Linked DNA regions of Schizosaccharomyces pombe. The gene in region 3 interacts genetically with the main gene of each other region. Each region holds a gene or a part of one and is shown on either strand. Other genes may lie near its edges. The genes, in order: pof10, SPOM_SPAC2H10.01, tbf1 and sut1.

Region 1 (4,799 bases), 550 kb from region 3:
TAAAACGCTTATTTGCAAACTAATAAGCATATTTATGCGGACAACTTACTTCTTCAATTGTACGATAAACAGGCAACAGAATTTCTTTAGTACCCCAATAAAGCTTGCTGATACTTTGACTTCCTAAGCACGCGTTAGTATTCAAATTTTTATATCAACGAAGCACATACCGAACGTATATATGATAGCAGCTACAGATGGAACAGTTCTACCACACATATAATCAAAGTCAAGCATTCCTTGAACAGCCTTTGTCTGCATGCCATACACAAAGGCTCTGGTGTCCTTGGAAAAAAGCTCATAAGAAGGTTTATCCACTGATCCCGCCATTGTTGTTCTTGTCACTGTGTTGGAGGAGGTAAGGAACGTTCGCTCATTGTTTTGCTGAACACTTTTTTACATTTAACGAGATGTTTGCGATAATTGAAATTTTGAAAATCAGATAACGCAATCAAGCGATACTTTTTATACATTCACTGATCAACGGTGCGTATGCCTTAAGAATATTTTTTTATGCTTTTATTAAGCAATAATATTATCCTTAAATAAGCATAGTAGGATATAAGAAAATACGTATTCCTAAAAGATTTTATTAACAAAATTAAAGTAACCTCTATTTTGAATTATAAAAATTCCCACCAAAATCCCTTGAATCCTCCTCCTTTTTTTACTTCGGAAGATTGATGAAGCATGTAATAAATAGATGAAGGACATGACTATATGCAGATGCAAAAATTTAACTAACGTATATTTTTCTACTTTTTCCCTCTTAGTAAACTACTAGGTGTATCACATTTCCATGAGTGATAATCGCATGGCTAGTTCAATCTGCTCTTGTTCGTTCAGTTCAGCAACATTCGCTTGTTCTTGCGGTGGCTCATGATTTGAACTTAAAGCATTTAATGACGATGTAGCTTGTTCATCGTTTTCTTTAAAATCTTCTTCTATTTTATCAACATCCATGGAGAGCTGAACCATTCTCTTAGCTTCCTCTTCTTGTGAAAGCATGGTAACATATGCTATGATTTCTTCTTCACTTAAACCAACCAAGCCCTCACCAAAATGCTGTTCAAATTTTTGCCGGGCTTCCATTTTTTCTCGTCTTTCCTGAGCAATTTGGTCCAAACCTAACATGATTTCTCTTTCGACTTCATTTTTTGAGTAGTCAGACGACTTCGACAGATTATCGTGTGTCACCGAAGGTCTCAAGGGTAAAACCTTGGACCTTTTATTAACAAAAGGTTTGGGAATTGTATAAGACCAAGATTTGACATGCTTGCTCATGGTGATCACACCTTTCAAACTTAACGGATTTGAGTCAAGCAGTATGCAATTAATTGGTTCTCTTCTAGCAGCATTCCTGGCACTCGCTATTTTTTTCAAAAAATTCCCAGTAACGGTATCGTATACTCCGCAATAGCCGCTAGCCGACCCTACTACCATTGCAACTTCATTCAAGTAAATATCGGTAATAGGAAAATTTGAGTATGCAGTAATAGTTCTAAGAATGGCCTTGTTAGGATCTTCAGTGCGAGTGTTTACAACATAAACCAAACCATTTTCATCACCAACAGCGAGCAGTCTTGCTCCTCTACCAGGAGTTGATTTTGACAACACACGATCGTTCGTATCTAAGGAGATTGAGGTTGGTTTTCCGTTGAGAGGAATTGAAGATGTTTGAACGCCGACATTATCGTTTTTCTCCAAAAATTCTTTAAATGAAACTCGACAAATACAATTTTTCGGTGCGCCCCTGGACAAGAAGGCAACACCGGCACAGCAATCTGCCGTCATCAGACAAGGAGGTTCCTCTTCATCAGTTAACACACATTTTCTGGACGATAAAAGTATAGGCTGCTCATTCTTTCGGGAGCGAGCATAGCCCGGTATTAAGTATAATTGATATGAGTTAAGTTCATAATTAAAAGTGTCAACGAGTAGCATTTTGTATTTCGGCCTGAAACACAAAGAAAGGATTTGTGAAGAACGGAATTGAAATGATTGAAGACTAACACCTGTTTTAACATCCCAGCAATGCACGGATCCATCATCTGATCCAGTAACCATACCGATTTCCCCAGTGGGGGGCAAATCACCGGTTAATGCATCAATGCATGTAACTGAATCAGCATGGGAATCCAGACAATAACGAAATTTTCGAGGAGTCTCGGCTTGACGTGACATCAAAATAACTCCAACGCGACCATCCATAAAACCAAAGCCAAAAATTTGTTTCCCCAATGTCATTGTAGATAATCCATGCGTAAAGCTGCCATCAGTACTAGCATGTAATAAAGACCTCTCAACCTTTCCAGTGGTAGGGTCGGAAACGGAGATTGTTCCAGTAAGCCAATTTCCTGAATAAAGCCTTCCTGAAGAAAAGTCGTAATAAAGGTTGGTCAATTGTCCAACGCGACAATCATACTGAACTGTTTGCCCTTTCCCTTTTTCATAAGCTCTAGTAATGGTAGAACGTAAAAGATATTCTTGCCGCCATGTTCCATTACCTAGTGGACTAAATATTTGCGACTGATCACCCGCAAAGTGATGAAAAAAAGCAGTACGCCAACTTAAATCATCGGATAATAACTTTTTCCAATATTTGCAAGTGCATTGAGCAGAAAGTAAAGAGCGAGGATCAAGAAACGAAAATATAATGATCAAAATTTCTAGAAAAAGTTAACAAAATCTCGAAAACTAAAATTGAATGTGTGAGAATTTACCTTTTGGCAGGTTTAAAACTGTTCTATTCGTATTATTTGAAGAATGATCCCGATTCATTCTCCTTAGGTTTGAGGATGTAAAATCCAAAGATGTTGGTTCCGATTTCATTGGTCTTGGCGTTTTGCCTTAGTATATAAAGTGGAACTTACTACGTGTACCAACGTATCGCTCAGAAAACGTCCTGTAATCATTAATTAACGAGCATTTTATATTCGAAAATTAATGTTTGCTTGTATCTTTTGATAGATTAATTAAAATGCTTTTATCTACATCCAAATTGAAATGAAAATTTAAAACAGTAACCAAAAAAGCTGAATATATTAACCCTATGCTAGTCCCTAACACCAGAAATACCTAATAAAATGAATAAATGATTTTACTGAACATGCAATTGTGCAATATGGTTTCATTAAAACCATCATTCCTTCTCTTCTTCTTCTTCTTCATAGTTATCAGATAAATCATCACCATTTTCTTTTCTTTTTTCTTCTTCTTGTCTATATTTTTCTAGTTCTTTAGATTGTTTCTTATTAAATCCTGAAGCCTCAATCATGATATCCAAATTATTTTCCTTTTCCATTTTCGATATGTCTTCGAAATTAGGAACATCACCTTTGTATTGATAGTTTTTTTCAAAATATTGCACAATGCACTGTACGTCTCTATCAAAATAAAATTGCGCATCAGGATGACTAGTAGATACCATTTGCGGAAAATCAATTACAACAGCTGTTCCATCTTCACGAACAATGATGTTAAATTCGTTGAAATCACCATGTATTAACCCATTCCTTGCAAATCGAACGATAATATCCATTAATGTCTGATATAGAGCAGGTGGATCACGAATGTCAGTAACAGCACGAAGAGGAAACGCATCAATCATTTCCATGATAATACAATGCCTGGAATGATCAATTGGAGCAGGTACAGGGAAACCATGCTCATGCAAGATCTTCATAAAAGCAAATTCTTTTGTGGCAGCTAATCGAGACAGATACTGCCATGATCCAGTTTTACGATTTCTCAAATAATCTCTATTGTTTTTTACACTCCGGAAAGATATACGCCCAAGCCTGTGGATTTTTAAGATATATTGCTTTCCTTTTTGGTCTCCTACGACGTAGACATCAGATTCTTTACCGACGCCTATTTGATTACCGACAGAGTAAACGGATGCTCTCTTTGACAAGGCCTTCAATGCCAAGTAATCATATCCCGCATATGTTAGTCGATAGCCCTCATAGCTGATATGCGGCACCTTTGCAATTAATTTATGCATAAACAAAACGGACAATGATTTCGTACAAGAGCCACCGCGTATTTTAGCAATTTGATTAATCATATTCGTTGGAACAACTTCATGATTACGGCTTCCCATTTCTACCTATAACTTGTTAGTTCGAATACTTATTGAAATCAAAATATAATTAATTGAATGCATCATATCGTATGTGTCAATAAGTAAGAAAATACAAAACATTGTACGATCAAAACGATTTAAGCTATATGACTGCCCAAAGATAAAATAAAGTGCTTACAGCTGTCAGAGTGCGAAAATCCTCGGCAGAAAGATATCTCATTGCTTTTATATTCAAATTTACCATCTTGACGAGCTTAACTTTTTTTCTTGCTAAAAATAAAAAAATAAGTAAGAATGCTAATCAAAGTTCAATTCCGACAATCACTAAATTGTGGTTCTCGTCAAAATGGTTGGTGTTTTGGCTAAGTGTGCTTAAAGTATTACTTGCCATCTGAGAAACATTTTTTACTTCACGCTTTAAAATTATGTAACCACAAAAATGAATACCAACTTTTTTAAAATATGAGAGCTATACACAATTTTGTCTTTAAATATCTTATTTAAGCATTTCTCAATAATTTATTAATTAGGATTACTTAAAATATACATTAAACCTTCCCTTTGATATAAATAACATAAAATTAAAATACTGACAGTAACGAAACGAATAAAAAAGGCCTACTGGTATATAATCCACCAATTTAATAACTAGTGGACAGACCAAAAAGATATAATATTGAAAACAACCAAATAAATTACAAGAAATAAATAG
Region 2 (5,357 bases), on a different chromosome or scaffold from region 3:
GATCCCCTTAACTTTAATGCTGCTAACTACAACATGAATGATATTATATCTAGATCCAAAATCCTAGGACGTGTAAAGCCATTCTGTGTTGTAGATTCTGTTGCAGTCGAAAGTCCGGCTCAAGAAGCTGGTCTCTGTATTGGTGATGAGTTAGTTCATGTTCAAAATGTTACTTCCTTATCAGAACTTCCTACTTTCATATCTAATAATGTCAATAAAACGCTGGATGTTCTTTTAATCCGTGGTTACTCAGCAGATGGATCGACTAACTTGGTAGAATTAAAATTGACCCCACATAAATGGCAAGGCCCTGGGCTTCTAGGTTGTCATTTGCGCTGAATGATAGCCCGCTTTGCCTCGCCAAAATGCATAAATAAAAGACAGAGGATTTATTGTATTTATGATTATTACAAGTATTATTAATGATATAAAACCCATGCACATAATACTCAATTCCTTAATATGCATGAATAAAATTATGAACGAGTCAACTCTAATGAAAAGTCAAAAAGTCTACAAGTTTGACACATACATGTATACTTATGCTACGTTCGATGGTTAAGTAAATGATACACTGTATTAATAGGGGAAAGTCATAATTAATTTAACAAAAATGAAACCTCGTTATAAACAAAACCTGGAAAAAATCAAAATGAACAAAAAGGGGGAAATGAAAAGGTGCCGAGCAAATTAGTCATACAACCATTTTTAGTCGTTGTGTATTACCGGGATACGCAAAAGCTGGCTTTGGAATGGGAAAAAAGACGGGTTTAAAACATTATTCTTCTCAATTAAAGAATGATAATGCCGGATTTTGAAGAGAAATGAAAGGTAAAATGCTTATTCTCAAAAAACAACGAAGTTAGAGAAATAAACGTTTCCCGGTTACAACCAACAAAAAAGCCATGTCAAAATTTGACTTAATATGCAGTTTGAATTGGATGATCCTCATCGAAATCACGAATAAAGAAAAACATATCATCCAGAGATGTATTTGAAGAGAAAACAGCAGGATTACAAGTCTTCATTGTAGCTAAAGGCTGAACTTTGTCAACATATTGATCTGGCCATAAGCTAGCGTCATCACTTAAATAACGAGAAGGCTCGTCGAATGAAATGTAATCAGAGCTATTAAAAGATTGGGGAGGTAGAGGACCGAGTTTGCCAGAGGATTGTTTGGCATTCAAACTGTCATTTGCGAAAGATTGCTGTCCAAGCAATTGGCTTCCACTTCCTTGGTCAATCTCCAAAGTAAGAGGATCTACTGCTCCAATCGGGTCATTAGCCAGATTGAAGCTACGAAGGACTTCGTCTGCGTCAAGAGAAGGTGAATCAACAGCAGAAGAATCCGTCAGATACGAGGAATAATCCAAATCAGATCCACCATTGGAATGAACGCTGTTGGTATCAACGGCAGCACCAGTGCTATTGCTACCAGGAGTAGATTTTGGGGAAACGGATGCACCAAATGAAGCTGAACTTGAAAGAGTCATTTCAGAAAGCATGGGTAAATGTTCAAGAGACTTACTTGACATTTGAGAGACCGAATCTGTTTGAAATCTAACGCTATCCTCAACGTTGGAATATGACATGCTACCTAATACATTGCTGCCAACAAAACCATTATTGCCGACTTTAGCAGCAGGTAACAAGGAGCTCTCAGGATAGTTAGAAGTGTTGGAATCGGCAAAGTTGCTAAGAGAAACACTCCTAGGGACAGATGAACTCAAAGAAGAGGATGTCAAAGTTTCCTTGGAAGGGAAACTAGCAGGGGAAAACCGATCTAACGGTTGAGAAGATGGAGATACATATAATGAAGATTGCATTGGAGATTGAGACCAAGTAGATGAGGCAAATTCAGAAGATCCCATGGAGAATGAGGATCTTGATGAACTCTCAGAAACAGCAACTGGGCGATAAGGAGTTTTGAAAGGACCAGACCCAGAAGCATATCCAGGAATGGAATCAAGGGAAGATGTGTGAGATGGAGAGCTACCATTAGAATTCACAGGAAGGTAGTGAGGATTATAAGAGCAATCATCGCAATGGTTGGTAGCCGATATTAAGGTACCGTCGGATGCATAAGGGAAATGTGAAGAGGTCATAGGAGATAATGAAGGTGTTGAGGCATAAGAGGGAAGGACGTTGGTCTTTCCATTCGTTGAAGGACAGTGTAAAGGGGCAGACTTTTTACGGCAAGCACGCCACGAGGTGGTTGAAAAGTGACAATCGGCGTGAGCCTTTTGACAAGCTAAACAAGGTTGTCCAGGAATGTCACTACCAGTACAACGGATTTTTCTGCGTCTACATCTATCGCAGGCAACGGCAGTTCGCCGACGTGGACCGGTATTTTTTTGAGTCATGTTAACAGTTTAAAGGAAATCCCTACAGAAAGAAAGGGGAATTAGAGTTGGAAAAAAAAGTAAATGCAATTAGTGAAGTAAGACAGAAGAACCAGCTCTTATATAACAGGCAACGGGCTTGGAGGGGACTTTAGAAGACCACGGCCGAGATAACAATAAATAAATAATAATAAAAATTAGCGGAAAGGAAATAAAACGATATAAGAAAGCGAGGTTAAAAGTATGAAATATAGATAGCCTAGCTTCTATAACATAAACAAGTACAAATATTTGTAAAAACTTTGGTAAACAAAGAAAAAAAATCAGAAGAGGAAATATAAGCAGAAAAAAAACGATAGAGAAAGACTAAGGTTTTTTAAAAACTTGAGAAATGTAATAAATAAGCAGGGAAAACCGATTTCAAGAAATTCAGATGTTACGACAAAACACGAGTGAATCCTATTTGACTTGGAGGGAAACAAATCAAGGGAAGGATTGACTCGGCGACGTAAAAAGAACTTTACTTCAACAGATAGTAGCAATTGTGGAAGAAAATTCAAGACTTAGCAATGAGCGAGAAAGTGAGCACAAAGCAAGTCTGTAATGGAGAAAAAGTGAGGAATACGACAAAGTTCAATGAATAGAATTTTGTAAGAAATACTCCAAGTTGTTGATTGCTATTCAAAGAAAAGAATCAACAGAAGCTCGTAAGAAACAAAACCGGCGAATTAAAATTCGGAATTGAATTGAGCAGAGATATACTGTAATTATTTTTAGCAGTTAGCAAAAATAAAAAAACAGTACCAATTCGATGGCTAGAAGAAAGCAAAGCACAATAGACCTTGAAAATGAATCAAGGAACAAGGAATTTTTTTTGGGGGAAAAAGAAGTTTAAGAAAGAGTAGGTGAAATGTTGGCAACACCTATGTATATGAAACTCGACCTACAATGAAAGGCGAACAGAATGAAGATAGAAAAAATGATCAACAAAGAAGAAAAGAAGAATGGATAGATGGAAAGTGTATCCAATGGTCAAAACCAATCGATGGTGAAGACAAGTAAAAGAACAAGAACAAGTATTTTCGTACTTAGATTTGATAAACAAATCACCTTTGCAAAAGGATAATTCAATGCTTCAAAGAAAGAGACTTTGTTTGGAAAAAAAGTTGTAAAAGACCAGCAGGCAGCTACAGATATATATAACGAAAAAGCAGCATTGCCCAAACGAACAATCGAGATCTGAGTTGCAACTGCCCCCAAATGCCGAGGGGTCCAGTTCAATTGTTCAGGGACAATTAATGATGTCAATTAAAGAAAAAGCAAGATCGACATGTTGCGGCAGAATCGAAATACTTGTTACTCAAAAATACCGGTAATTTGAGGTAACAAGAAGCGAGGGGTAAACAAAAGATGAGATTGGAAGGGCAATGCACACTGCCGAAGGGGGCACCATTGAAGAAGTAGAGTTGGCTGCAGGCGAAAGTGGAGGGCAAGGCAAGGCATGGTAAGGTAAGGTATGGTATGGTAGGGTATTGTGTTGTATAATACTGGATAGGATAGTATGGTATGATATGGAATTGTTAAGACCAATAAACTAAAGAAGAATGGGTAAACGTAGGGAGAGGAGAGCAGAGTGAAGAAGGAAAAGAAAAATTTATGAAAAAGGAAATTCTCTGTTGAATTGAGTAGCTTTACTGTAACTGTAAGAAAAAGCATGTACAAGAATGGCATGGGGTAGAGGAATGGTGAGTAGTAGTGCAAGTTAATAGCTAAACTGATGGTTTTTAGCCGGTCGGTTGTGGAGTATGGATGGCATTAGGGGTCGACGAGTTTGTTTTGGTTTTGGCGGTGCGGAAAACAAAGGTAGCGCATAACTAGGTTGAAAAAAGGGAAAGGAAAAGTGAATTAAAGTAAAGCAAGATGAGGCAATCGATGATACAAGACAATTGTAAAGTAAGGAGATAGGTAAATAGGATTGGCGTGGTAGAGCGCGGGAAGGCAAAAAAGGAAAGCAGCGACAAGCTCAGAGAACTATTAGAAACCTTGGTAGGAGGTTTGAGCGCTACGTAAGTAAATAGAAGGGTTCAGCTTAACCTTTGCAATCGGAATAAAGGCATGTAGGCCAAATTAATCATTGGGTGGACGGCATTTGAACAAAATCAAAGGTTGTATAAGCGAAGTTCGCTAGTGTCAACTATGATGAGACAACGGCAGTTGAAAAAGTGGGGAATGGCAGTGAAACGTGGGGTGGCACTAAAAAAGATGGAGGAATCGGCAAAGAAGGCAAGCTAAGGTGACCTTTCGGTGGTGGGGCAAATAGTGCAGTGCAAGGAGAGTATTGAGGATTTCGGCAGTTGGGGGAGGAATAAAATTGGCCATATACAGGAAAAAAAAAAAATTTGCCAGCAAATGGGTGAGAGTTGGATTAAGATGATAGAGATTGGAAGATTTGCTATAGAGCATGCAGGCGAGTTTGAGACAAATAATCGAGTATAGTTTGATAAATGCCGAAAGCATGGAGTATTGTGATATGAAGGTGTTGAACAGGTAAATAAAAAAGGAGAGATACCGAAAAAGGGCAAGGAAATATCTCAATCAAGGCAAAAAAGAAGAAAAGAAAAATAGATAAAATAAAATAAAATAAATGAAAAGTAATTGTAAATAAACATTGAAAAAGAGGGACAAACTAGAATAAGGAAGAAAGTGGAGAAGAAGGGGCTGAAATTAAAAAAAAAAAAAAAAAAAAAAAAAAAAAAAAAGGAGCGAATATTTTTTTTTGTCAAGACAGAGAGAATGTGTGATGATGGACAAACAACATACGAAAAATTGAACGATATGAACAATGTTGCAATAAAGAAAGTTTCAGAAATATAAAAATAAAATAGATTAAAAAGAATAAAATAAATAAACAAAAAAATAATTTAATAAATTGGATGTTTAAGAGAAAAAAAAAGATGGAAGAAAGAGCAGGGAAATATTTAATCATCGTATGTGTTCTTACTAGGAAAGTCAACA
Region 3 (5,049 bases):
ATTTAACTACTTTACATCATAAATTCAGTGACACTCAAATTGGTAAAAATTAATTTTAAATTATCGTAACATGTAGAGATAAAGGAAATTATTTGGAAGACGATGAATCATTCCAGATCAATTGATCAAATGCCTCCTGTTCGTGAGAAATAGGTTCATCCAACTGTTCAGAGCCTAGATTAGAAGTTCGGGAAGGAAATGCTTCAGAATTTTCTTGTCCACTAAAAGCACTATCTGTGGATTTAACACTCGAGTCTTCTTCGTAAAATGGAAAAGAATTGTTACCGGTATTTCGATTACGGTTACGAATAGCTTCCCATGCTGACGCTGGCTTTGATCGATCTTCAAAGCCATTGTCTTTAGAGTACATGGCGTCCTCTTTCTCCGTACTCTGTGAATTCGTAAAGGGATCTTGACTAGAAGAGGCACCAGTATTCGGCATACTTCCAGGTAATTGATATTTTGAGTTTTTTGGAGGGAATTCAGAAGATGAAGAAGGAAATCTGCCTTGTCGCATCGTTGTTCTTTGTCGAATAAGGGAGTCTTGTATTTTGCGAAGTATTTCAAAGCCATCATCTCTTTGACGTATAGCCGACAAATTGTATGCCAGAGTAGTAATCTGAGCAACCTATTCATAATTTGTAAGCTTGAGCTTAGTATTACTTAAAACTTACCCCATTTCCAGCAAGACCTCCTATAATTGATGTTGCATACAAGCGGATTGGAGTAACCTTTTTGTTACGAGCTAAAAAATAAGAAAGTTATTTTCAATTGCTTGTTCGAAATCTCATACCTAAGTATAATGGGAGAGAAAACCCGACTAGCATCCCAAAAATCGTATTTCTTTTGACACGGTATTTTGCATGATTTAGAAATTCCTTTTGGTCATCACTGAAATGGTTTTGAGGATCATTTAACATTCGTTCCCAAAAAAAATCCATGATAATAAACGTTGGAAGCGATTCCTGAGGCTACACAATAATGTCAAGAATATGAAACGTGCTTATACGGGTTATGTTAGCGAAATAAATGTAATTAAATTATTTGCGGACTGTACAATTTAACCCAATATATAAAAATTTGAGGCCTTTCTAATGTAAAAATACTACTACTAAAAGGTAATAGTACTCATCACTTGTTGCCTTATGGATAGTTTGGATACTGATGTAAGAGGATGTGAATAAGGAGAATCTCTAGGGATTAGGACCATCTAAATTTCCCAGCTACTACAGTGATACTTGGCATGAATAAGAAATACGTATCTGAATAAAAATTTGACACACAAGATTGTTCTGTTGAAATTTCTTATGAAACTGATAGACTGAATTTTTTTTGGCTGGTAAGCACTTGTGATGAAATATGCAACTTTTTCGAACTACGTTTTACATTCCATCTTTCAATGAAACAGACCTTGGTGGCATCAATTCGTGGTATACGATTGTTTTGAATTTTAATATTGCAAGCATATATGTTCAACAGGAATTTCCCAGTTGTTAAATAAGTCTATATCGTATAATTCTTTGTCATTAACCGTATTTATTCATTTTGAACTAATTTAGCACAGAATTCTATCTCGTAAATTAAACAAGCGCCACTGCATTTTACACAGCTAACGAAAAATACAAGAAGGCAATTGAGAAATAGAGAAATAGATGCAATACAGACTTGGTCTTTTTTTTTAAAAAGTTTTGCCAATTTAGACGGATTTTGTATCTAATATGTAGGAACTACTAGTAGTAGTTACAGCTTATTCATTAGTTAATAATGTCCAGATATCGCTTCTACAAAGGAATGAAATGTTGATAAAATTAGTAAAGAAATACAACGATATAATGGTATTTAACACATCTGGCTTATTGGAATTCGTTAATAAAAATAACGAACGCCAATGAAGTGAAATATGCAAGAGATTTTTTATTACGAGTCAATTAAATATACGCTGTCCTAATCAATTGACACACAAATACCTGAAAACTCGCATTTGGTTGTTACTTTGCCTGCATTGGAAGGATATATTTTAAAAAACCTTGTAGTAAAGAAGAATTGGAACTTTTGATGCAAGATTTACTATTCGGTAGTCACTGGATATCGTTGCTCCTTGGATTTGTTTAGCAATCGATTAATCAGACTGCTTCTCACCTATAGTTTGTATTTTCTTTGATCAATTGAAAAACTACGATTTCCAAGAAAATGTCAAAACGATCCTTAGACCCTAGTGATGATTTTAAGGGTCAAAAACGCTTAGCGATTGATCCAGAATCAACTGCCCTCGAACAAGATCGCCAAATGTTACAACAATTATCAGAACAAAATTCTGAACTCGAGCCTCAAAATGTTGCACCAAATGCAGAAATTCCTTTAGGGTTTGATCTTTCCGGAATTCAATTTAATATGACGCCGGACTTTTATTTACGCATGAATCAAGGCATGGATTACGCTTTCAACCAACCTAATCCTATTGCTACACCTCAGCAACTTCTTCGTACATCTCTTATTCCTACTCTTGGTAACCTTAGTAACATAATTTTGTCAATTCTTGGGAAGCCAGTACAAGAGGCATCTGCCATTGTCACTAATCCAGCCTCCGAAATGGGTATGGCCTTTACCAAAGTAATGAATATGTTTCGTATGGTAAAGGACATTTATACTGAAGAATCTTTTATTTATTCCTCTGCCATTGGTATGAGGACGCCGAGTCAAAGAAGTACGACTAGACGCGCAAATCTTGCTATCTTTCTGGCAGCTGTCTATGGAGCGCTACAAATTGGATTTTTTCATTTGAATGAAAATTTTCTGGAGGTTTTTGCTCCGGACGAATCTAATATCCTCACTAATCAGGGCACTCTTTATATGGAACTCAAAACCCAAGCATATATTTCGGCTATGGCTCAGGCAGAACGTCCCAAGGGAGACATATTAAACGATCTTTTTCCCTCTGACATGGCCCATCGATTTCTTATCCGACGAAATGCTAAGCTGGATGACAAACTTACTTATGTTGAAAAGCAAATCATAGAGAAATGTACGGCTAGAAAAGAAAGATTGGCAAACTTCTCCCCACAGGAAGCTTTAAATGAAGTATATCCATGGGGGAAATTTTTAAGCGAGATTGCTTGTTACATCCATAACAATTACTCGTCTATTTCGGCCATTCCAATTCCTGCTAACTCATTCAAACGACGATCCAAGAAGAACGGATTGAGGTTTAAGGCTGGCGAAGCCGAATCATCCCCTTCAGAATCTGGTTCAGACCTGACCGATAGTCTCGCATTTGGTATACCATCTTCAACTTTTGACGGCTCCTCGGAAACACAAAATGTATCCAGTGTCGTTCTTTATGATCAGGTTCGACATATGACAAATAATAACCTAAATAACAAGCGTACGAGGCGCGTAGCCAATCGTCGATCTTGGACAAAAGAGGAAGAGGAAGCATTGCTTGATGGTCTTGATTTAGTAAAAGGTCCCCGGTGGAGCCAAATTTTGGAGCTTTATGGTCCTGGAGGCAAAAAGAGTGAAGTTTTGAAATATCGCAATCAAGTTCAGTTGAAAGATAAGGCTCGCAATATGAAACTATTTTTTCTCAAAAGTGGTCAGGTGGTCCCCGCAGCATTACAATGTGTTACAGGCGATCTTCGGCGAGATTAAGTAGTATCAGGAGTTTATTTCATTCTTGATTAAGTTTGCGATTTTTTTTTAAATACTAAAACGATTAAGCGTGAGGCATTTTATGTATAAATTATAATTATTATTAATCTATGGGTTTTTTGGTGCTAATACTCGGAGGCTATTCATTACAATTGAACATTCCCGTGTATCTTTATTTACAATTTCGGAGGATGACCTGGCAATAGCTTGTTCCACAATATGCGTAACTCGCTGAAAATCGCTTCGGAATACCCGCAAGAGTATTGGATCACGGCGATCAAGCATTTGCATTTTGCTGCTGATAGAAATTGCCAGCTCTTTGAAAAAATAGATACAAATAGTTGCACCATCAAGGATAAAATTTGGTTGCATTTGAAAATATTCTAATAAATTTGGGTAGTCTGGATTACAAATATTAGCCTTTTGAAGTGACCTTTCCCAAAAGACGCATTGTGCACCAATCTTTGAAATTTGGTACCACCCGTCTTCAAATTTGGACCATATAGTAGAATTTGCCGCTGAAGGATCTGTACTGTTATGTAGGAGTCTTCGTGTAGTGGGGGACAGTTGGAAAATCGAGTCGAATTGTATAATGGCCTTCTGTATACGAGAACTTAAAAGACGAGTTAAGTCCTGTTCTAACAAATATTTGTCTAACATATATAAAACAGAGCAAGCATTTGTAAAACCATTAGAGTTCACACTGAAAGAAAGTTGATCTTCTTGTGATAATAGATAGCTGGATGTTTCTTTTATAATTCTCGATCGATTGGTTATATTAAGTTTTAAGAGTAAAGAAACGGACGATTGTCTTTTCTACAATAATTAGCCAAGAAACAGAAAATATATTTCATACCATTAATGGAAACCGGCTTAATAATTGATCAGACTCTTGTAATAGTAAAGATGCTTGATAATAGCGTGAAAGTCTTGAATTTGTTAGCATACCAAAATCATTGAGCAAAACAATAAGCATACTTTTCATTTTCATTAATCGATCCCTGGAAAAGGGGAAATAACTTTGCTTGTATGCCAAAAAACTCCCCAAGCCAATACAAAGTCATGTATGTTGAATGCAAATTTACAATTGCCTCATGAAGGGGACCCAAATTTTCAGATGGAATGACTACCAGCGAACGAATTCTTTCATAAACCAACATCAATTGTTCTAGTTTTCCCTCGATATCTTGCAAATATGACTGAGCATTCAAAGAACTAGATACATTTTTCGTCAACGTGGTTTCCTCATGCACAATCAAATCGGTAATTTGCCGCTCTACTTCTTTGAGTGCATACCCCAACCTCTTTCTGGCGACTTCTTTGTCTTCGTTAACATCGGAGTCAGCATGAACAGAGATTAACACTCGTTCAGCCTGCGCCTTTGGATCGAAATCTGATTTT
Region 4 (5,082 bases), on a different chromosome or scaffold from region 3:
TAGTGATCACATTACCAGATATGCCTCGAATGAGTTGTTCAGGGTCACACAAACCGCGAATAACTGTTGACTTTGTGTAATCGAGGCTCTGCAAACCTGAACCAGACTCTAAGCTTGAAACACGAACATTGTTCTTCAACAAAAGACCAGCAGCAGATCTAATTGAAACACTAAGCTCCGTAGCGTTGATGAGAATGCAAGTAAGGTAATTATTTAGATCTGGTATATCCTTTGCTTTCTCAAGCAACTATAATAAAGTTAGTTATGCCATTTGATTTCTTCTTCACACGTCGTTACACACGTGAAGTAAAAAGAAGCATCTTCTACAACGAGAAAGAAACTTTTAATTTTAGAAAAAAAAAATCTTACATTTAAAGCAGCATTCCTAGTCTGAGAGTTTTCGGAGAGTGAATTCTTTATCACTTCTGAAAGTTCTACGAGGACTTGTTCCTGGAGAACCCAAGGATTGTCCCCCATCTTACTCTGTACTTACTGTAAGAAGTTGTTGGTAGTAGTTCTCTGATGAGTGTGGGGAAGGCAGGTAGTACCATTCCAAGCAATTCCAAGATTTACATTTACCAGAGTGGTATGCTATGATTCGTTAAAAAATAAATGGATTCCAGTATTTGTTTTCACATTTAAACATGTATTGACAGGATTTTTCTACCAAGTAAAAAGTTCATATTGCAAATTTCCCGTAGACGCATCTCAACACTCACAGCACAGTATAATGATCTCATGTATTAAATAAATTAATTTACAGAATAAAAAAAAAAGAATTTTAGCACGTAGCTCCCCTATATCACTTTAAATTTGTTGATTTTTCTTCAAAAAATTTACGAAAAGTCCATTGGGTTGCATGTTACCTGCTGACGAAGAGAATAGCACTGTCTATGGAAAACCATGCAATGTTATTTAGGAATTTAGGGGCGGATTGATATTGTTTTGAATACTAAAAAAGAATTATATTTAAGCTCCATGTTATTCAAGAGAAGTATTTGAGCGACAAGCCATGCGCGGATAACACCATTGAGTTTAAATTACTATTGCTCGAACGTGGCAATATTTTAACTTCTCCAATTTATGTTCAGGCCCAATAAACACGTGCAAAGAAAGCTATTGAGTAGCATAGACAATTATCTAGGTCAATCATAAATATGTCTAACTCTGTACATTAACCATAAGAAGAATTATTCATCGTTATAAGGAATGGCTGCGTTCTCCTTATTTTTTTACAATATTTATGTATATACTTAATCACGTTAATATAGCTTACGAGTATACTGATTGCAACATTGTGTTTCGCTAAATATATATCGTTTCGCTACGAACTGCTCTTTAGTTTTCAAGGATGCAATAAAATACCGTAAAAGTTCTCCATTTTACCGGAATATTGCTGTATTCAGAATGCGCCCCTGGAGATGTTTATTGATATGTATACATATTCTTATAATAATATTGGAAGTGCGATAGCTACTAGTAAATTGATGAGTGCAGTTTAAATTTGATAATATTCTATATAGTTTTAATGATTAAATTAAGATTCAAATATACTAATCATCATTAGGACTTAACGGCATCTATTTATACGATATTTCAAAAAGATAAAAAGCATTTGACTTATACAGGAATGCAGTGTGCCGCGGTGTAATGTCCTATAGTGCAGAATCACAGTGTAACGTCAACATGACATTTACGCGGAGCTGGGCTGATGGAGTCGCTCCTCTAAACCAAGCATATTAAAAGGTGTAGTAATTTGAAAGGATTCATAAGAATTCATACTTTTAAAAGGTACTTTATTAGTAAGGAATTATTTAATTATTTATTATTATTTCTTATTCCTTGCTTATTGCTTTAAATTGAAGCTTTTTGCTTATTGACGATTTCAAAGTAAGTACACGATGCTTTGTTCTATGTTCATTTTAATCGCTTTTGTTCAACTAACCTGTATCTGCAGACATTCATAACATTTTCTTACGTATCCTTTCTTTTTGTGACTCGTCGTTGAACTTTCAATCGGATTCTTTAGTTTTCTGCTTTTCTGCGAACTTAATCTACAAATTGCCATTTGAAACTTTCGAGCATCACTGGGATTGGTATCGTTGTGAAAAATTATATGTCTAATACTTTCAAACATTGCTAAAATCAATATAATAATTCTTGAAATCCCCGAAATTAGAAGGATTTTTATCACATATTCGATTATACTTCTATCATTTGAATTATTCTCTCTGACTAACATTTAAAACATTGTGGCCTGTTGTATGCTATCAAGGATCAGATACATTCATTGCAAGTTAGACAGCGATCAATTATTTTGAAAAATTAAAAAATCATTTCTCTCAATCATAATTGAATCCCCCTGAACTTTGTTGTAGGAACAGATATCTCTTACCAAAGAAGTTCCACCAAACGTTCCTCTCATTTCTCTTTTGCTTTTAAAGCTTAGTTTCATTAAAATATGTCTGTAGATGAAAATCAATTGGAGAATGGACAACTTCTATCCTCCGAAAATGAGGCATCATCACCTTTTAAAGAGTCTATCCCTTCTCGCTCTTCCCTCTACTTAATAGCTCTTACAGTTTCACTTTTGGGAGTTCAATTGACTTGGTCGGTTGAACTTGGTTATGGTACACCGTATTTATTCTCACTTGGTCTTCGTAAAGAATGGACTTCAATTATATGGATTGCCGGTCCTTTGACTGGAATATTAATTCAGCCAATTGCTGGTATATTGTCCGACCGGGTTAATTCAAGAATAGGTCGGCGGAGACCGTTCATGCTCTGTGCTAGTTTGTTAGGAACATTCAGCTTATTCCTTATGGGCTGGGCCCCTGATATTTGCCTCTTTATATTTAGCAATGAGGTTCTAATGAAACGTGTTACTATCGTTTTGGCTACGATTAGCATTTATTTGCTTGACGTGGCCGTCAATGTCGGTATGTGAATTTAGGGATTTAGTTTTCAGAGTAGTAGTTCATACAAATGACTAACTTTATAACTAGTAATGGCTAGCACTCGATCTTTAATTGTTGATTCAGTCCGTTCAGATCAACAGCATGAAGCAAATTCCTGGGCTGGAAGAATGATAGGTGTAGGCAATGTGCTTGGGTACTTACTAGGCTATTTACCTCTATATCGCATCTTCTCCTTTCTCAATTTCACACAGTTACAGGTGTTTTGCGTACTTGCCTCCATTTCCTTGGTACTCACAGTTACCATCACAACAATATTTGTGAGTGAAAGGAGATTCCCACCAGTTGAACACGAGAAATCGGTTGCTGGAGAAATCTTTGAATTTTTTACAACTATGCGACAAAGTATTACCGCACTTCCATTTACATTAAAAAGAATTTGTTTTGTTCAATTTTTTGCATACTTTGGATGGTTTCCATTTTTGTTTTATATTACTACCTATGTGGGTATTTTATATTTACGCCATGCTCCTAAAGGCCATGAAGAAGATTGGGACATGGCGACTCGTCAAGGGTCGTTCGCATTACTGCTTTTTGCTATCATTTCTCTTGCCGCAAATACAGCACTTCCATTGTTGCTCGAGGACACGGAGGATGATGAGGAGGACGAATCGAGTGATGCATCTAATAATGAATACAACATTCAAGAAAGAAACGATCTCGGAAATATAAGAACTGGTACTAATACACCCCGTCTTGGTAATTTGAGCGAAACAACTTCTTTCCGTTCGGAAAATGAGCCCTCACGACGCAGGCTTTTACCGTCTAGTAGATCAATTATGACAACGATATCCTCCAAGGTACAAATCAAAGGACTTACTCTTCCTATTCTGTGGTTGAGCTCCCATGTCCTTTTTGGTGTTTGTATGTTGAGCACGATATTCTTGCAAACATCATGGCAAGCGCAGGCAATGGTAGCTATCTGTGGACTGTCCTGGGCATGTACTCTATGGATTCCATATTCGCTATTTTCTTCAGAAATAGGGAAGCTTGGATTACGAGAAAGCAGTGGCAAAATGATTGGTGTTCACAATGTATTTATATCTGCCCCCCAAGTGTTGAGCACCATCATTGCCACCATTGTATTTATTCAATCGGAGGGCAGTCATCGAGACATCGCCGACAATAGTATAGCATGGGTGTTGAGAATTGGAGGTATATCTGCATTTCTAGCCGCGTACCAATGCCGGCATCTTTTGCCCATCAACTTTTGAAAGAATTCAGATGATGAATGTCGCAAAAATATGCAATTCGATGATATGTGAACATGAATATTATGAATAATTTACGATTGACGAAATATGAGTGAAAGCAATTGCTGTTTTTTCTAAAAGTGTAATTTGAATAAAAGAATGGAGAGGCAACGAAGAGTAATGGCATTATCAAAAGGATTTGTTTGATTGGGCAAACAATACACTGTCAAGATGGAAAAGGAAAGTTTTTCTTTGCATTTGATACAAGATTCATACTTGTGTAGAGTATAGCATGAACCAATATAAAAGATATACTTATAGTGTATAAAGGATATAAAAAGTAATAAAAATGAAAATCAACTTGATTGGACTATCTCTCTATTAATGGACACAAAAAAAACCATGGTGGCAGTAGTAATACTAGCAGATGTTTGAACTTTCTCGATTGATCCGAGTTTAAATTAGTATACAGTAAGAAGAAGCGAGCTTTGCGTAAGAAAAAGGGCAACAACACCATGTTGATCACAGTAAAGGGAAAAACAATGCATTGCCAAGCTTGTTTTCATTACAAAAAGAAAGAGTTAAAACGGAGAAAGAGCCTCAAATTAAGCTAAAAGAGCCAAATTATAAAAAGAATTTTCAGTCATATAGAATGATAATTCAGTATAATAATATGTTTGTAAGCATAAGAACTTTTGAAAGCTTCCGCTGTAATAAATAACATGTTATGTAATTCTCCATGTGCTCTTTCATCTAATCGGTCATACCATTATGAACATGCAATTAGCATCTAAACTACCTGCCTACTTTGTATAGCCTGCCAAGTCAGCTTAGTGTGTTAGGTAGCTAAGACTCCGTGTCCTCCTTGTCTAAGCCAAACGACCCAACTCGACAAGGCGTTGTCGCAATCTTCC

Evidence for each region.
Region 1: mutations in tbf1 (region 3) and pof10 together harm fitness more than expected from each alone (negative genetic interaction), as found in Schizosaccharomyces pombe (one large-scale study listed by BioGRID).
Region 2: mutations in tbf1 (region 3) and SPOM_SPAC2H10.01 together harm fitness less than expected from each alone (positive genetic interaction), as found in Schizosaccharomyces pombe (one large-scale study listed by BioGRID).
Region 4: mutations in tbf1 (region 3) and sut1 together harm fitness less than expected from each alone (positive genetic interaction), as found in Schizosaccharomyces pombe (one large-scale study listed by BioGRID).

What each region holds. Positions count from the first base shown.
Region 1 is NC_003423.3:2,923,545-2,928,343, reverse strand, and holds pof10 (F-box/WD repeat protein Pof10), read right to left. Parts: upstream 2,831-4,799; 5' UTR 2,782-2,830; coding exon 2,724-2,781; exon of another isoform or gene 2,670-2,723; coding exon 790-2,669; 3' UTR 554-789; downstream 1-553. Other genes in the region: acl1 (ATP citrate synthase subunit 1), read right to left, coding at 50-123, 171-330; rio2 (RIO family protein kinase), read right to left, coding at 3,143-4,111, 4,266-4,331. UniProt on the Schizosaccharomyces pombe protein: Probably recognizes and binds to some phosphorylated proteins and promotes their ubiquitination and degradation.
Region 2 is NC_003424.3:5,271,177-5,276,533, reverse strand, and holds SPOM_SPAC2H10.01 (transcription factor), read right to left. Parts: upstream 3,513-5,357; 5' UTR 2,364-3,512; coding exon 921-2,363; 3' UTR 551-920; downstream 1-550. Other genes in the region: nas2 (26S proteasome regulatory particle assembly protein), read left to right, coding at 1-339; SPOM_SPAC2H10.04 (uncharacterized protein), read right to left, coding at 3,699-4,073.
Region 3 is NC_003423.3:2,371,984-2,377,032, forward strand, and holds tbf1 (DNA-binding factor Trf1), read left to right. Parts: upstream 1-1,941; 5' UTR 1,942-2,190; coding exon 2,191-3,648; 3' UTR 3,649-3,756; coding exon of another isoform or gene 3,757-4,464; 3' UTR 4,465-4,504; downstream 4,505-5,049. Other genes in the region: SPOM_SPBC19G7.18C (uncharacterized protein), read right to left, coding at 89-628, 675-745, 794-941; COG complex subunit Cog5, read right to left, coding at 3,757-4,464, 4,505-4,577, 4,627-5,049. UniProt on the Schizosaccharomyces pombe protein: Binds the telomeric double-stranded TTACAGG repeat and regulates telomere length.
Region 4 is NC_003424.3:3,933,592-3,938,673, forward strand, and holds sut1 (plasma membrane sucrose/maltose:proton symporter Sut1), read left to right. Parts: upstream 1-1,769; 5' UTR 1,770-1,890; intron 1,891-1,936; coding exon of another isoform or gene 1,937-2,242; 5' UTR 2,243-2,461; coding exon 2,462-2,939; exon of another isoform or gene 2,940-3,005; coding exon 3,006-4,189; 3' UTR 4,190-4,558; downstream 4,559-5,082. Other genes in the region: karyopherin/importin beta family nuclear import signal receptor Kap104, read right to left, coding at 1-247, 370-477; SPOM_SPAC2F3.07C (uncharacterized protein), read right to left, coding at 1,937-2,242.